Linked DNA regions of Caenorhabditis elegans. The protein of the gene in region 3 purifies or fractionates together with the protein of the main gene of each other region. This does not show direct contact. Each region holds a gene or a part of one and is shown on either strand. Other genes may lie near its edges.

The links. The genes of interacting proteins can lie anywhere in the genome.
Region 1: the proteins of rpac-19 (region 3) and rpac-40 fractionate together in Caenorhabditis elegans (co-fractionation; one large-scale study listed by BioGRID). This does not show direct contact.
Region 2: the proteins of rpac-19 (region 3) and W09C3.4 fractionate together in Caenorhabditis elegans (co-fractionation; one large-scale study listed by BioGRID). This does not show direct contact.

The regions. Positions count from the first base shown.
Region 1 is NC_003283.11:4,197,772-4,204,204, reverse strand, and holds rpac-40 (DNA-directed RNA polymerases I and III subunit RPAC1), read right to left. Parts: upstream 4,721-6,433; 5' UTR 4,715-4,720; coding exon 4,631-4,714; intron 3,912-4,630; coding exon 3,232-3,911; intron 2,189-3,231; coding exon 2,085-2,188; intron 2,033-2,084; coding exon 1,916-2,032; intron 762-1,915; coding exon 646-761; 3' UTR 509-645; downstream 1-508. Other genes in the region: algn-5 (dolichyl-phosphate beta-glucosyltransferase), read right to left, coding at 5,113-5,145, 5,792-5,980.
Region 2 is NC_003279.8:4,702,836-4,706,393, forward strand, and holds W09C3.4 (putative DNA-directed RNA polymerase III subunit RPC6), read left to right. Parts: upstream 1-1,768; 5' UTR 1,769-1,786; coding exon 1,787-2,047; intron 2,048-2,099; coding exon 2,100-2,462; intron 2,463-2,611; coding exon 2,612-2,878; 3' UTR 2,879-3,050; downstream 3,051-3,558. UniProt on the Caenorhabditis elegans protein: DNA-dependent RNA polymerase catalyzes the transcription of DNA into RNA using the four ribonucleoside triphosphates as substrates. Specific peripheric component of RNA polymerase III which synthesizes small RNAs, such as 5S rRNA and tRNAs.
Region 3 is NC_003281.10:9,628,704-9,631,831, forward strand, and holds rpac-19 (putative DNA-directed RNA polymerases I and III subunit RPAC2), read right to left. Parts: upstream 1,183-3,128; 5' UTR 1,177-1,182; coding exon 1,033-1,176; intron 987-1,032; coding exon 883-986; intron 834-882; coding exon 647-833; 3' UTR 543-646; downstream 1-542. Other genes in the region: tbg-1 (Tubulin gamma chain), read right to left, coding at 1-60, 348-451; ubc-7 (putative ubiquitin-conjugating enzyme E2 7), read right to left, coding at 1,772-1,846, 1,894-2,072, 2,120-2,217, 2,263-2,365, 2,421-2,460. UniProt on the Caenorhabditis elegans protein: DNA-dependent RNA polymerase catalyzes the transcription of DNA into RNA using the four ribonucleoside triphosphates as substrates.

The sequences.
Region 1 (6,433 bases), on a different chromosome or scaffold from region 3:
ATTGAATTTTTGCTAGTTTTCTAAAAACAATCGTTTTTTTTTCAATTTTCTGAAAAAAATTCGAAAACTGCCCCGTTTTTCCAGTATTTCGAAAAAGGATATTTTTTAGAACAAAATTGATTTTTCTTTTTTTCTGCAAAGAAAAGATTTTTCGCTTTTTCGATTTTCCGGAAAACCGAAAATGTTAGTTTTACAATTTTTTATTCAAATTTTGGTTTTTTTTTTTAATTTTTTGAAGAAAATTATATTTTTTCATCAGGATAGACAAAAATTGATGATTTTTAAAGTTTTGTTTCTAATTTTTCTGAAAATCGAAAAGAATTCGTTTTCCAATATTTTGAGAAAATAGCTCAAAATTTTGGAGTTTTTCCATTTTTTAATAATTTTTTTCTGAAAAAACCGAAAAAATGAATGATTTTTCTATGAACCTGTTAAAAAACTACAAAAAAAACAAATAAAAAATGGAAATTTCAACCATTTGGCCAACTAGGAGATATTTGAAGGTAAAAAAGCCACGAAAATTCATTCAAATTAAGAAAAAAGAAAGTGACGGAACAGTGTAACAACTTGAGGGGTAGTCAAACAACAACAAAAAAAAAGGATAACGAATAAAAAAATAGTAACAAAATTTCAAAAAAACGGGGATTATTGAATAAGAGCCTCGATTTGTTTGCGAAGAGAACGACACTTGATTTCCATGACTTTACAGGCTTCAACCACCAATTCAGACGATTTCAGAGCTCCAGTCGACTCTACACTGACTGAAAAAAAAACTAAAATTGCCGGAATTCAAAATTTCCGGCAAATCGGCAAACCGGCAAATTGCCAATTTGCCGAATTTGCCGGTAAAAATTGTGAAAAATTTTTTGTGTGTTTTTTTTTCAGTTTAAAAAAAAAGAAATTTGAAATTTTGGCAATTTTTTTAAATGGTTTTTTGGTTTTTTTTTGTATTTTTGAAGAAATTTTCATTTTTCTCATTGAAATATAATTTATTTTTAAATAAGTTTATAGTTTTTCCCTCTTTTTTCCTACGTTTTTTTCGGTTTTTTTTTTATATTTAAAAAAAATCGACTTTCTCAACCAAAAAAATTAGAAAACTTGGGAAAAATCGAAAAATTTCTGACGACGAAATTTTGTGTTTTTTTTTCGTTAAATTTTTTTTTCTCATCAGTTTCGATAAAATTGATTTATGGGGTTATTCAAGTAGTGTCGGAAAATTAAAAAGTGTAAAAAAATTTTTGCGAAAAAAAAAAAAAATTGCTACATTACTTGAATAACCCCATTAGAAAAAATCATATTTAATGGTTAATTTTAACCGATTTTTACTAATTTTCCACAAAAATTCGGGCCCTTGAAAAGTAGAAAATTTAGGATTTTTGTAATTTTATCGGAAAAAAGTTCGAAAAAATGGGTTTTTTTTGTGAATTTTTCAGAATTTTTCGAATTTTCCCCAGTTTCTGCTCAATTTTAATTTTCTGAACATTTTTTTTAAAAATTTTTTCGTTTTTTTTAAGTTCGAAAACTCAAAAATTTTCTTTTCCCAATTTCCAATTTTTCAACTTTTCGTTTTAAAAATTTTTTCAAAAAAAAAATCGAAAAACGGCACGTCTGTACCATGTTTCTGGCGAAAATTCTTTTTTTTTCGAAAAAAAAAGCGAAAAAAAATATATAAAAACTCCGGCTCCAAAAAAAATTACTTATACATTTTCCAAAAAAACCACTCTCAAAATTAAAAAAAAGAGTTAAAATTTGGCAAAAATATTTAAAATTTTCAAAATAAGGTTTCAAACTTTAACAAAATTGGGGTTTGTTTTTCGACAACTTTTCGTGTATTTTTTTTTGGAAAAAAAACCAAAAAAATGCGAAAAATTCATGAATTTCAGTTTTTTTTTTCGAATTCAGCCCTGCCACTAACAAATGAAATGCTGTTTGTTCTTTCCCAATTGAACAACTTTCGACAGATCTTCGTGGCGGAACACGTTACGACTGCACGTATCCTTGCGAGCATCCTTGACAACAGCAATTCGTTTGGCTGAAATTTTAAAAAAATTGGTGTGTTTCCTAAAAATTGATTTATGATCTACCTCCTTTCTTCTCGATAGCAATAACTCCCTCGCTGAATACTGATTTGAGACGTTCGGCAGCTTCACCCGAAATTTCGGCGTTCAAGCGGATCGTTGGAAGCAGTCTGGAATGAAAAGAAATTTTTTGAAAAATTGGAAGAATTTGAAGGTCAAATTGGCAAACCGGCAAACCGGCAAATTGTGTTTTTGCACATTTTTTTTGGAAATTTCAGATTTTCAATTTCAATCGGCTAAATTGTACGCATCCTATAAATGTTCCTACATGTATTTTGAAAAGTAGGCAAATTCTATGAAAATTTCCGGCAAACCGGCAAATCGTCAATTTGTCAAAAATGAAAATTCCGGCAAATCGGTAAACCGGCAAATTGCAGAAAATGAAAATTCCGGCAAATCGGTAAACCGGCAATTAACCGAAATCGAAGTTTCCGGCAAATCGTCAAACTGGCAAATTGCCGAAAAAGAAAATTTCCGGCAAATCGACAAATCGGCAAATTGCTGAAAATGAAAATTTCCAGCAAATCGCCGAAAATGAAAATTTCCGGCAAATCGACAAATCGGCAAATTGCTGAAAATGAAAATTTCCAGCAAATCGCCGAAAATGAAAATTTCCGGCAAATCGACAAATCGGCAAATTGCTGAAAATGAAAATTTCCAGCAAATCGCCGAAAATGAAAATTTCCGGCAAATCGCCGAAAATGAAAATTGCCGAAAATAAAAAAAAATTGGCAATTTGTCAAATTTGTCGACAAAAAAATTCACCTCTGGCTTGAAATTTTCGAACTTTTTTTTCCACAAAATTACAGAAAACAGTCTAAATATACTGAATATAGGTAGATGTACAAAAATTATTTAACTTCCCCAAAATATCTCGTAGCGAAAACTACAGTAACTCTTTAAAAGCTACAGTAGTCATTTAAAGAATTACTGTAGTTTTCGCTACGAGATATTTTGCGCGTCAAAAATTTTGTGTAATACGCATTCTCAGAATTTGGGGTCCCGTAAAACCGAAAATATATTATATGAATTATAATTTTTTTCCCCCCAATTTTTCACTTTTTCCGAGAAAATCGAAAAACGAAAAATTTTCAATTTTCCGGAAAACCGCAAAAATCAAAAGAAAATATTTCAGCAGCTTCAAAATTCACACCTATAGGACGCAGTAGCAACCGGTGAGAACTTTGCATGATCCCGTCCGATTCCCTTGACCGCATGGCAACTGGCTTCAATTTCCTGTCCAGGACGAAGCTTGGCAACGAGAATATCATCAGAAACCATACGTGGATGGGCTTCTTCGGTGAATTGCGTCTTCTGATCAGCAATCGGTACCCATTCAAAAGCACGTGAGTAGACCGAGCTATTGTGATAAAGCTGCTTCGGATCGGTAGCCGTCGGCACCGCATTTCGATTCTTCGTACACGAAACATTAATCTTGAAGATCAAATTTTTCGCGGGATCTCCCTCGGGCTCCTCGTCACAATCCACTCCCTTCTCATTGATTCCAACGACTTTTTCCTTTGGAAACTGAAATCCACGTGGATCCACACGAAGCGGCAGAAGACCCAAACGATGGCAGAGTACTTCATCTTGAATTACAGAAGTATTCTGATAGAGATAAATCTTCTCGAGAGCCATCGTTGGCACTTCGGCGATGAGCACACGGCGAAGAGCATTTGCAATTGGAGCTTCAATGCGAGTAATATCAAATTCCAATGTCATTCCATCGTCGGATTCATTGACCATTGCCACTTGGATTTGATCGCAATACTCGTTGATATCGAATTGTTTTGTATCGTCGTATTCGACATAATCGGTGCATTCGTCGTAGGTCTGGAATTGAAGAAGAATTTTTGGAAAATTTAAAAAAATAAAAATTTCGGCCGAAAAGCAAAAAATCGAATTTCTTCAAAAAAAAAAAACAAAAAAAAATATTGACCAGAAATGTCGGTTTTTTGGTTTTTTTTTCCTTTTTTTTTTGAGACGAAAAAATTGGCAAAAAAATTTTCCCGTGGTGGAGAGTTGAACTCAAACTGCTGCGAGTGAATATAAGCATTGACTCCATCTTCGATTTGCTGTTCAAGCGTGGGCGTTTTTAGCTTCTTGCTCTTCGGTCCGGAGGACATCGCGACAACGACGTTACGCGTGGTGAAAAATACACGCAATCCGCTTTTTTTTTGTTCATTTTTTCTTTGGTTTGTGTTTTTTTTTTCCAAAAAGTTGAAAAAATCGAAAGTTAATTTTTTCTTGGTTTATCTCACAATTTTAAATTTTTTCAATTTTTTTTGAAAAAAAGTAATCTTTCACTAATTTCCGGCAGTTGATAAATCGCCGCCTTTTTTCGTAAATTTGTATAACAATTTTTTTCGGAAAAATAACGATTTTCAATAAAAAATTGGAATTTTTTAAAATTTTTCTGGACGAAATTTTAAAAAAATACGGAAAATGCTTTTGCCGCCTGATTTCCTAACGAGACCCAACGTTTGGGGGCGGAGCGCTCTCGTTTCCCAATGGAGCGCGATTGCATCCTTGAAATATTCAAAAAATCCTACATTGAGCACAACTTCCTCTTTCATCTCGATCTCATCACTGTGATAGGTAGCCTGCTTGCTAGTTGCCGCCGCTTTTTTGACCATTTTTGCCTGGAAATTTTTTGATTTTTTTCGCCTGAAAACTCTATGGAAAGATATAAAATCGCTGGGAAAACGAAAAAAAAAACAAAAAAATGGAAAAAAACATTTAAATCGATATTTTTTTGAATTTAGCATTAAAAATAAACCCAGAGTCCCCAGAACAAGAGAGAAAAAAAAGAAAAACCAACAAGTAAATAAATAAATAATAAAAATGCGAAAAGAAAAAAGAATAGAATCACATTTTCAAGGAATCATGGATATTTACAACCAGCCATAAATTGGAAAAAAAATCAGGAAAAAGCAGGGAAAAAAAGTGATTAAAGCATAGATATTACTAGAAGAAAAAGGAAATTTTTGGGCAAGATTTTTTGAAAATCTCGTATCGATTTTTTGTGGAGCATTTAGCGAGGCTGGTCATCCGTCCAAATTCCGATCTGAAAATAAAATTTTAATGTCAAAAATATTGTCAGGTCGCTCTACCGCACACGAAAATGGCGGGAAAATATTTTTTGAAAATTTGTGACGTCACACAGCGCATTTTGAATAATTGCTTTTGTTCAATTTAAGCGCCGATTTTCGTGAAATTTTTTTAAAAACTGGCTCATTTTAATTTATAAAATTTGATATTTTACAAAAATTCTAAAATTTAGTGGAGAAATTGAAGCAAAATACAATAAAAATGAATAATTTCAATTTAAACAAAAATTTATTTGGAAAATCATTTTTAAAAAATTCACGGAAACTTGGTAAATGAACGGTTTAAATGGTTTTTCGAAAAAAAAAATTCGTTTCAATTGAAATTATTCATTTTTATTGTGTATTTTGCTTCAATTTTTCCACTAAATTTTAAGAATTTTGGTAAAATATCAAATTTTATAAATTAAAATGAGAAAGATATTATTTATTTATTTTTTTTTTAAGTTTGACAAAAATCGGCGCTTAAAATTAAGAAAATTATTCAAGATACGCTGTGACGTCACAAATTAAAAAAAAAATATTTTCCCGCCATTTTCGTGTGCAGTAGAGCGATGGGACATCCTGACACCACTTCAAAAAAGGCCTAAAAAACTGCAATTTTACCGTATATCTGAACCAAATGAGCACAAGATCTCGGCCCATTTGAAGCCAAGACCAAATTGGAGTAATCTTAGACCCTTCGATTTCAGTCCATCGAACTGAAACTTCTTTCACAGGGACCGTCCATCTTTCGCAAAGGAAGATGAGCTCAACGTCAAAAGCCCAGCGCTCAATGTGAAGTACTGGGAAAATCTGAAAAAAAAACGTTTTTTTTTTTTGGTTTTTTTTACTTTAATTTGACGAATTTTAGCTAAAATCTTAAATCAGGAATTGAAAATTTTCGGCAAATCGGCAATTTGCCGGAATTGAAAATTTCAGGAAAATCAGCAATTTGCCGGAATTGAAATATCCGGTAAATTGACAAATTGCCGTTATTGAAAATTTCCGGCAAATCGACAAATCGGCAAATTTCCGGAATTGAAAATTTCCGGCAAATCGGCAAACTTCCGGAATTGAAAATTTCCGGCAAATCAGCAAATTGCCGGAATTGAAAATTTCTGGCAAATCGGCAAATTGCCGGAATTGAAAATTTCCGGCAAATCGGCAAACTTCCGGAATTGAAAATTTCCGGCAAATCGGCAAATTGCCGGAATTGAAATTTCCGGCAAATCGGCAATTTTGCTGAATTTAAAATTTCAGGAAAAA
Region 2 (3,558 bases), on a different chromosome or scaffold from region 3:
TGCTATCAAGAATAAATCTCAGGGTTTTAGTTAGAAAACATGTTGATTCCAACTTGATGGAAATTATGGTGAAATTGCCAAGAATCGTCGGCAAATTGTGATTTTGCATATATCTGTTTTTTTTTGGAAATTTTAGAATTTCAAAAAATAAAAAATTACATAAAGGCACAAGTTTAAGTGTTTTCGTCTTATAGAAAAACTCCTCTAAACATTTCCGGCAAATCTGATATTCGGTAAATCGGCAAATGTACAATTTGCCGATTTGCCGAATTTGTCCTTTTTTTTTCTCGAGATGTATGAAATATGGGAGTGAGAAGAGAATTGCAAAATAGGAAGACACGAGATTCAAAATGAGGGAGTATGAGCCAAACAAGACGGAGAAAAGGCATAAGAGGAGCTCTGTGTTGAGGGATATATAATTTGTTGGAGGAGAATGACACGGAGAACACATTGCGAATATGGGATCAAACTAGAGACGCAGAGCACTGAGCAGATATCTCACAAACACCCGGTGTGTGGCAGATGGTGAGCCATTTTGGTCACTCTCTTTCCCTCTTGTTGTTCGCCTCCCTGAAAGGCAACTGCTAGCAGGCTCTGGCTACTCCTACTGACTGCTTCTTCATTGAATGCTCCTCTTTTCCATTGATGACGATTGAATATGCGAGAGACAGCCGGGGTCTCTAATACTAGGAGCCGAGTAGCATGAAATTGTTGTTGTGAAACTTATTAGAAAATGGATAAGTGTGGGGGATTTGTTGAGAATATTTTTAGCGAAAGCGAGAAATTTTAAGCTTTTGTCAGTACAACTGCGAAGTTATTTACCTCAATATGCAATATTACGGTAACACAAACCTCTTAGAATGCGTATTGTGCAACATAGTTGACGCGCAGAATATCTCGTAGCGAAAACTACAGTAATTCTTTAAAGGACTACTGTAGCTCTTTTGTCGAATTACGGGCACTATTTTCGAAATGAATTAATTTTCCAAAAGTGACAGCGATACTCATTTTCCGTCGTTTTTTTCGTATGATTCTTATCCATAAATAAATGATTTTAATTAATTTCGAAAATCGAGCCTGTAAATCAACATAAGCGCTACAGTAGTCATTTAAAGAATTACTGTAGTTTTCGCTACGAGATATTCTGCGCGTCAAATATGTTGCGCACTGGGCATTCATTTTGTGTTTTCGTAATAAAAGAAACGTTATGATATGTTTAACAAAATTTTGGATTTCATTTTTTTGATTAAAACTAACAATTCTCCAGTAATCTGAAAAATTGTCCTTTCCAAGCCAAAATAATATTTTAAATATATAACTCTTCTCATTTTCACTGATTATAATGATCAATGCATTAAAATACAGCTGCTAAAAAGCCAAACACCTTGTTTCCTTCAGATTTTCGAAAAATGGCATGTAACTCGAATGCGGCTGCCAAACCGACCACGAACAACAAAAATTCTCAAAATTTATAATTTTTATGTATATAAGCTTTTAGAAAAACATTTTTTCTATCCATTTATCTATTTTTATTATTTTATAATCTTCAGTATTAATGCTTTTAGCCACAGTCTTCATTTTCATCTCATTTTGCCATCGCCCCGCCCCGTGTGGCGACCGCGCTCTATTGCGAATCATTTTTCTCTCGCAATTTGCAGTTATTATTTCTCCCTTCAGTTTCACTATTTTCTCACAAAAATTCACCGAATAAAATGTTTTCTCTCAATAATTTTATGTTTTTTCTTATTTTTCTAATGCATATTTTAATTTTCAGCGGATAAAAATCATGGCTTCCATCAAAGAAGAACTTATAAGCGCGGCGGAAAGCGAATCGCAAGTGATGCAGATCGTTCAAGCGGCTCTCGAAGGAATTGATATGGATGCATTGACAAGTATGACACCTGGATTGCCACAAACTGTTCGTCAGACTGCGATCAATAGCCTTTTGAGCTCAAAGAAATTGGCTATTCAACAAGCGCCTGGCGGTGTGCTCCGGTTGAAAGTTAACACAAGTGAACAGATTGCGGGAACAGAAGAGGAGCAAGTGGTGAGTATTTCTTGCATCCGGAAGAAAGAAAAACTGACATTTTTCATTACAGATTTACAGTCTTATCGAAGAATCGAAGACGCGTGGAATATGGATAAAAGAACTTCGAGAAGGTTCAGGACTCAACCAGCTTCAACTTCGAAAAACATTGAAAAGTCTGGAAACGAAAAAGTTGATCAAGACTATCAAAGCTGTTGGAACTACGAGGAAGTGCTATATTTTGTTTAGTATTGAACCAGATATGTCATTGACTGGTGGAACATTCTATTCTGATCAACAACTCGATTCGGAACTCATCAATACATTGATCAGTGTTTGTGGTTCATATGCTGCCAGCAGACGAAAGCATGCGATTGATGAAAATCCGAATAATATTCAAATGCAAAGAGAAGCCAGCTATATTCGTCCTCAAGAGGTTTGATTTTTATTGATAGCTCTAAAAAAATTTTTTTTTAAACTCTAAATTGAAAATGTGAATTTTTTTAACCGGAAAATAAATTAAATTGATGTTTTTCAATTTTTTTAGCAAAAAATATGCGTAATCAATTTTAAAAAAATTTCCAGATAGCCCAATTCATCACCGAAAAACGAGTATTGAATGTTCCACTATCATTGGAAGATTTAGAAAGAATTCTCGAAGTCGCTGTGTTGGATGGAACAATTGAACGAAGAGCTGATGGAAAGATCCGTGCATGTCCACCACGTTCCAGTATTTCTCCATTAGTGTCGGTTCCGTGTGCTATTTGTCCAGTTGTCGAGGATTGTCGACCAGGATATGTGATCTCTCCTCAATCATGTGATTATATGAAAAATTGGCTGGCCGATCTGTAACTGCAGTACTCTCTAGTTAATTGTTTTGAGAACTCAGATCTTCAAAACCCGTATTTTTATTGTCCATTTTTGTTAATTTATTGATGCCTTTTTGTTGTTGATTCTCCTCTTTTTTTCTTAATTGTTAAATATTTGTTCTGAATAAAAAAATCTCATAAAAAGAGATACAAATGCTGGTTCTATTTCAGAAAGAATGGTAGGAAGTGACTAATCTTAATGTCAAACCATAATGATCGACCCTTGACGCGGAGCAGTTTTGCAAGTATGCGGCGCGGTTTTATGCATGTCATTTTTTTCTGGTTTTACAGGTTTCAATTTAAAAACCGGACTAGCCCGTAAATCGACAATAGCGCTACAGTAGTCATTTAAAGAATTACTGTAGTTTTCGCTACGAGATATTTTGCGTGTCAAACATGTTGCGCAATACGCATTCTCAGTATTGTAGGGTCCCGTAATATTAATTTTAAAAATGTTTTCTTTTTTTTTTTTAATTTTTTCCGAAATATTTTTAAAATATTACTTTTAAAAATATTTTTTTTGTCGTTTTGAAAAATAGGTACAAAACAGGAATTTTGCCCAAAAAATGAGTAAAACCGAGCGAAAAAAAATACTCACACATGTATGTCCATGTCTAGTACAAAACTCTTCGTAAATCGACATGCAAAAAACCGCGCCGCAGG
Region 3 (3,128 bases):
TGGTAGAACAATAGATCTTTCTTATCATTCATATCGTCTTCGTGAGTTGTTTGTCCACGTCTGAAAACGAAAAAAATTGTTATATTTATCAAAATTATGAGGCTGAATTATGACCTTGAATAAATTGCGTCTTAAATTATTTAACTTAGCAAAAATGTTTGTTTCATCTCAAACAAAAGTAAAATAATTCATATTTTGTTTTCAATCATGTCGATTCACGAGAACAATTCACAATTGCAGCATTTCAGTATTGAAATATAAAAATTGCAATAGTTTTCACATTTCGGACTGTGGTATATCGAATTTTGCCTAATTGAAATTGTCGGTGCCTCAAATTTATTCCCTACTCATTGATTCCATGTTCGTCGACCATCGATTTCCAGAAGGCTTGAGCAAGCTGATTTCCGCACTGTCCAACGTGGACAGTCATCAAGGCACCCGTACCGGACATCTGGAGATTTGGATTGAGAAAATCTTTGATGCAAACAAAAATATGGCATATTTTGAATAAAACATAAAAACGTGAATCACAAATAATTATCTTTGCCAATACAAATTTTTCATTTCAGATTGAAATGGGTGAAGTCAAACAAAAACATCAAAACAACAAAATGGATAACAAATAATGACAAAATGAATAGCAATTTTACGATTGGCTTTGCTCATAAGACTCTTCAAATTTCCCTCTAATCGTGGAAAAAATTTGTTCAACACTTTCGAATGCCTTCGCGAGAACTTCCAGAGCATTAATACCATCCTTTGTCTGCACTCTGAACAAAATCTTGTCTTCCAGAGGATGTGGAACGTTGTAACCACAAAATTCAACTTCATCCCTGAAATTAAACAACAATTACATCTGATCGATTCGTTCGTAAAACATACATTCTGCTCAAAATGTGCTTGATTGAATTTCCAATAGTGTGATCTTCCTCGTACATGATAAGCGTCAAATTAGATGGATCTTGTTCGAAACTTTTTGGGTCCAGCTGTAAAACAGAACATTTTTTTAGAGGAATAGTGTAGAAAACTTACAATTTCCATTTTCTTTTTTGAAGGTACGTTCAAATCTTCTTCGTCGTCCACTTGTGGGGTTTCCTGTGGTTGTTCGTCGACTTCCATTGTTTCTGCTTCTACCTTTTCAGCTTCTTCTACTATCTTTTCATTTTTCTTTCCCATTTCGAGCTGAAAATCACTTTTAATAACTGAAACAGATCAAATTAAAAAAATAATTTTTAAATATTTTCCAAATGAAGCCCCGCCTCTTTTTGCAACGCTCGCACGCAGTTTTTGCAATTGCGAGGCACGCGGAACGGTTTTCGTTATTTTCCGTCTAATGTATTTCGAACGAATGACATATTTATCAGAGATGAAATTGATTGTATTTAGTGAAAAAAAAATTTTATTTTCTCATAAAAGATAAGAAGTAGCATCACGAGGATTGTGAATTCATACCAAACAAATAAACATGTGGTACCGCTCTCAGAAAAAAAACGAGTTGCATAGTTGTAACTATAGTTTGGATGTTAACAAAAGGAAAAGAGCACCACCACTAGACAAAAAAAAATTACGAAGCAAATTCACAGGTTTTGCGTTCAAAAAAATGTTAAGGGGAATAAAAAGTAACGAGTCCAACGCTTATGAGGAAAGAAATTAGAAACACGTGGTGTCAAAAAATGGGGTGAATGAGTAAGAAAAAGAAGATCAAAGTGGATAGTTTCATATGAACGACGAGTTAAATTAATGCTTCTTCTCTGTTGATGCAATGTTCAAATCATTCTTCTTGACTTCTGCGAACACATTGAGCAACTTTCTTTTTGAACTCGGCGTAGTTTTCACGTTGCATTTTCTGAAAAAATTAAAATATTTCGGTTATTTTTCATTGTTTAGACGAACCGCTGCATCAACGTTTGCAGGAGATTCAAAGTTAGGATCCGTGAGCATTGAGATGACAGAAAGAAGGATCGTCTCGACAGTATGCACAGGCAGCCAACGCTCTTCCGGACGTTCGTAACCCCACTTATCATCTCCGGGATCGTGAAGAATCGAGATGCACACGTTACCTTCCTTGTCAACTGAAATATTTTATGTGTAAAATCGACTTGTTTCAGTAAATACTAACTGTTTGGATGCCAAATTTCCGAAATGAACTTCATCTTTGGTGGTTTTTGTGGGTAATCCCTTGGAAAGTCGAGAATAGCCTTGAAGAAACCTCCCTCGCTGCAAGAAAAAACTAATTACAATTTTCACAAACAAACAACTTACTAGAGAGTATCTGGTGGTCCGATCACCAGGACTTCCCATTTGTAGATGTCATTGTCATCGACGAGACCTGCCGAGAATCCGTCGACTGGAACTCTGCGCATGTCTGGAAACAGAAAAAAGTTAGTTTTGATCATAGATCACGTTTAATCCCAACTCACCTGCCAGCTGTTTCTTCAGAAGTAGGGAGGATTGCTCCATCTATCTAGAAATAAATATAGAATTATCGATTAATTTGAATGAAATTAAGCAAAAACGTGGTGTATTTTTCAGGAACACGCACCAATAAATCGATGGTTACGAAATTTCAAAAAATTAAGAAGAGAGTAATTATACTTCTTTTTACGTGGAAAAAATATCGATTGCACATGATTAAACCATTTAAAAATCTTTTGAAAATAAAAAAATAAATTTGAGAAACTAATTCTCGATAAATAGCGGCGACGAAGGTGCCAGTAGCGACTGAACAAGAAAGTGAAAACGTGATTGTCAAAGGCGCACGCATTTTAGAAGTTGGGTCTTGCCACGCTATCTTGAAATGCGCGCTTTTTCAAATTTTAAAAGTTGCAGCGCGAATTTATAGGGTTTAAATACTTATATTTCAAGCCTAGGAATGCAAAAATATGCCTTTAAAATTGAAATAACCGATATTTAGAAATTAAAAAATATAAATGTTTTCCATATTATCCAGACGCGGTATTTTGAGATTTTTGTTTCAAAAGTACGGTACCCGGTCTCGACACGACATAAATATTTTTGTTAAATGTGAAAAGGGCTTCAATGAGTACTGTGATTTGAAATTTTTTTGTTGTTTTTTTCACGATTTTTGTTCATCATCGAAGAATTATGAAAAATCAATGAAAGTTCCG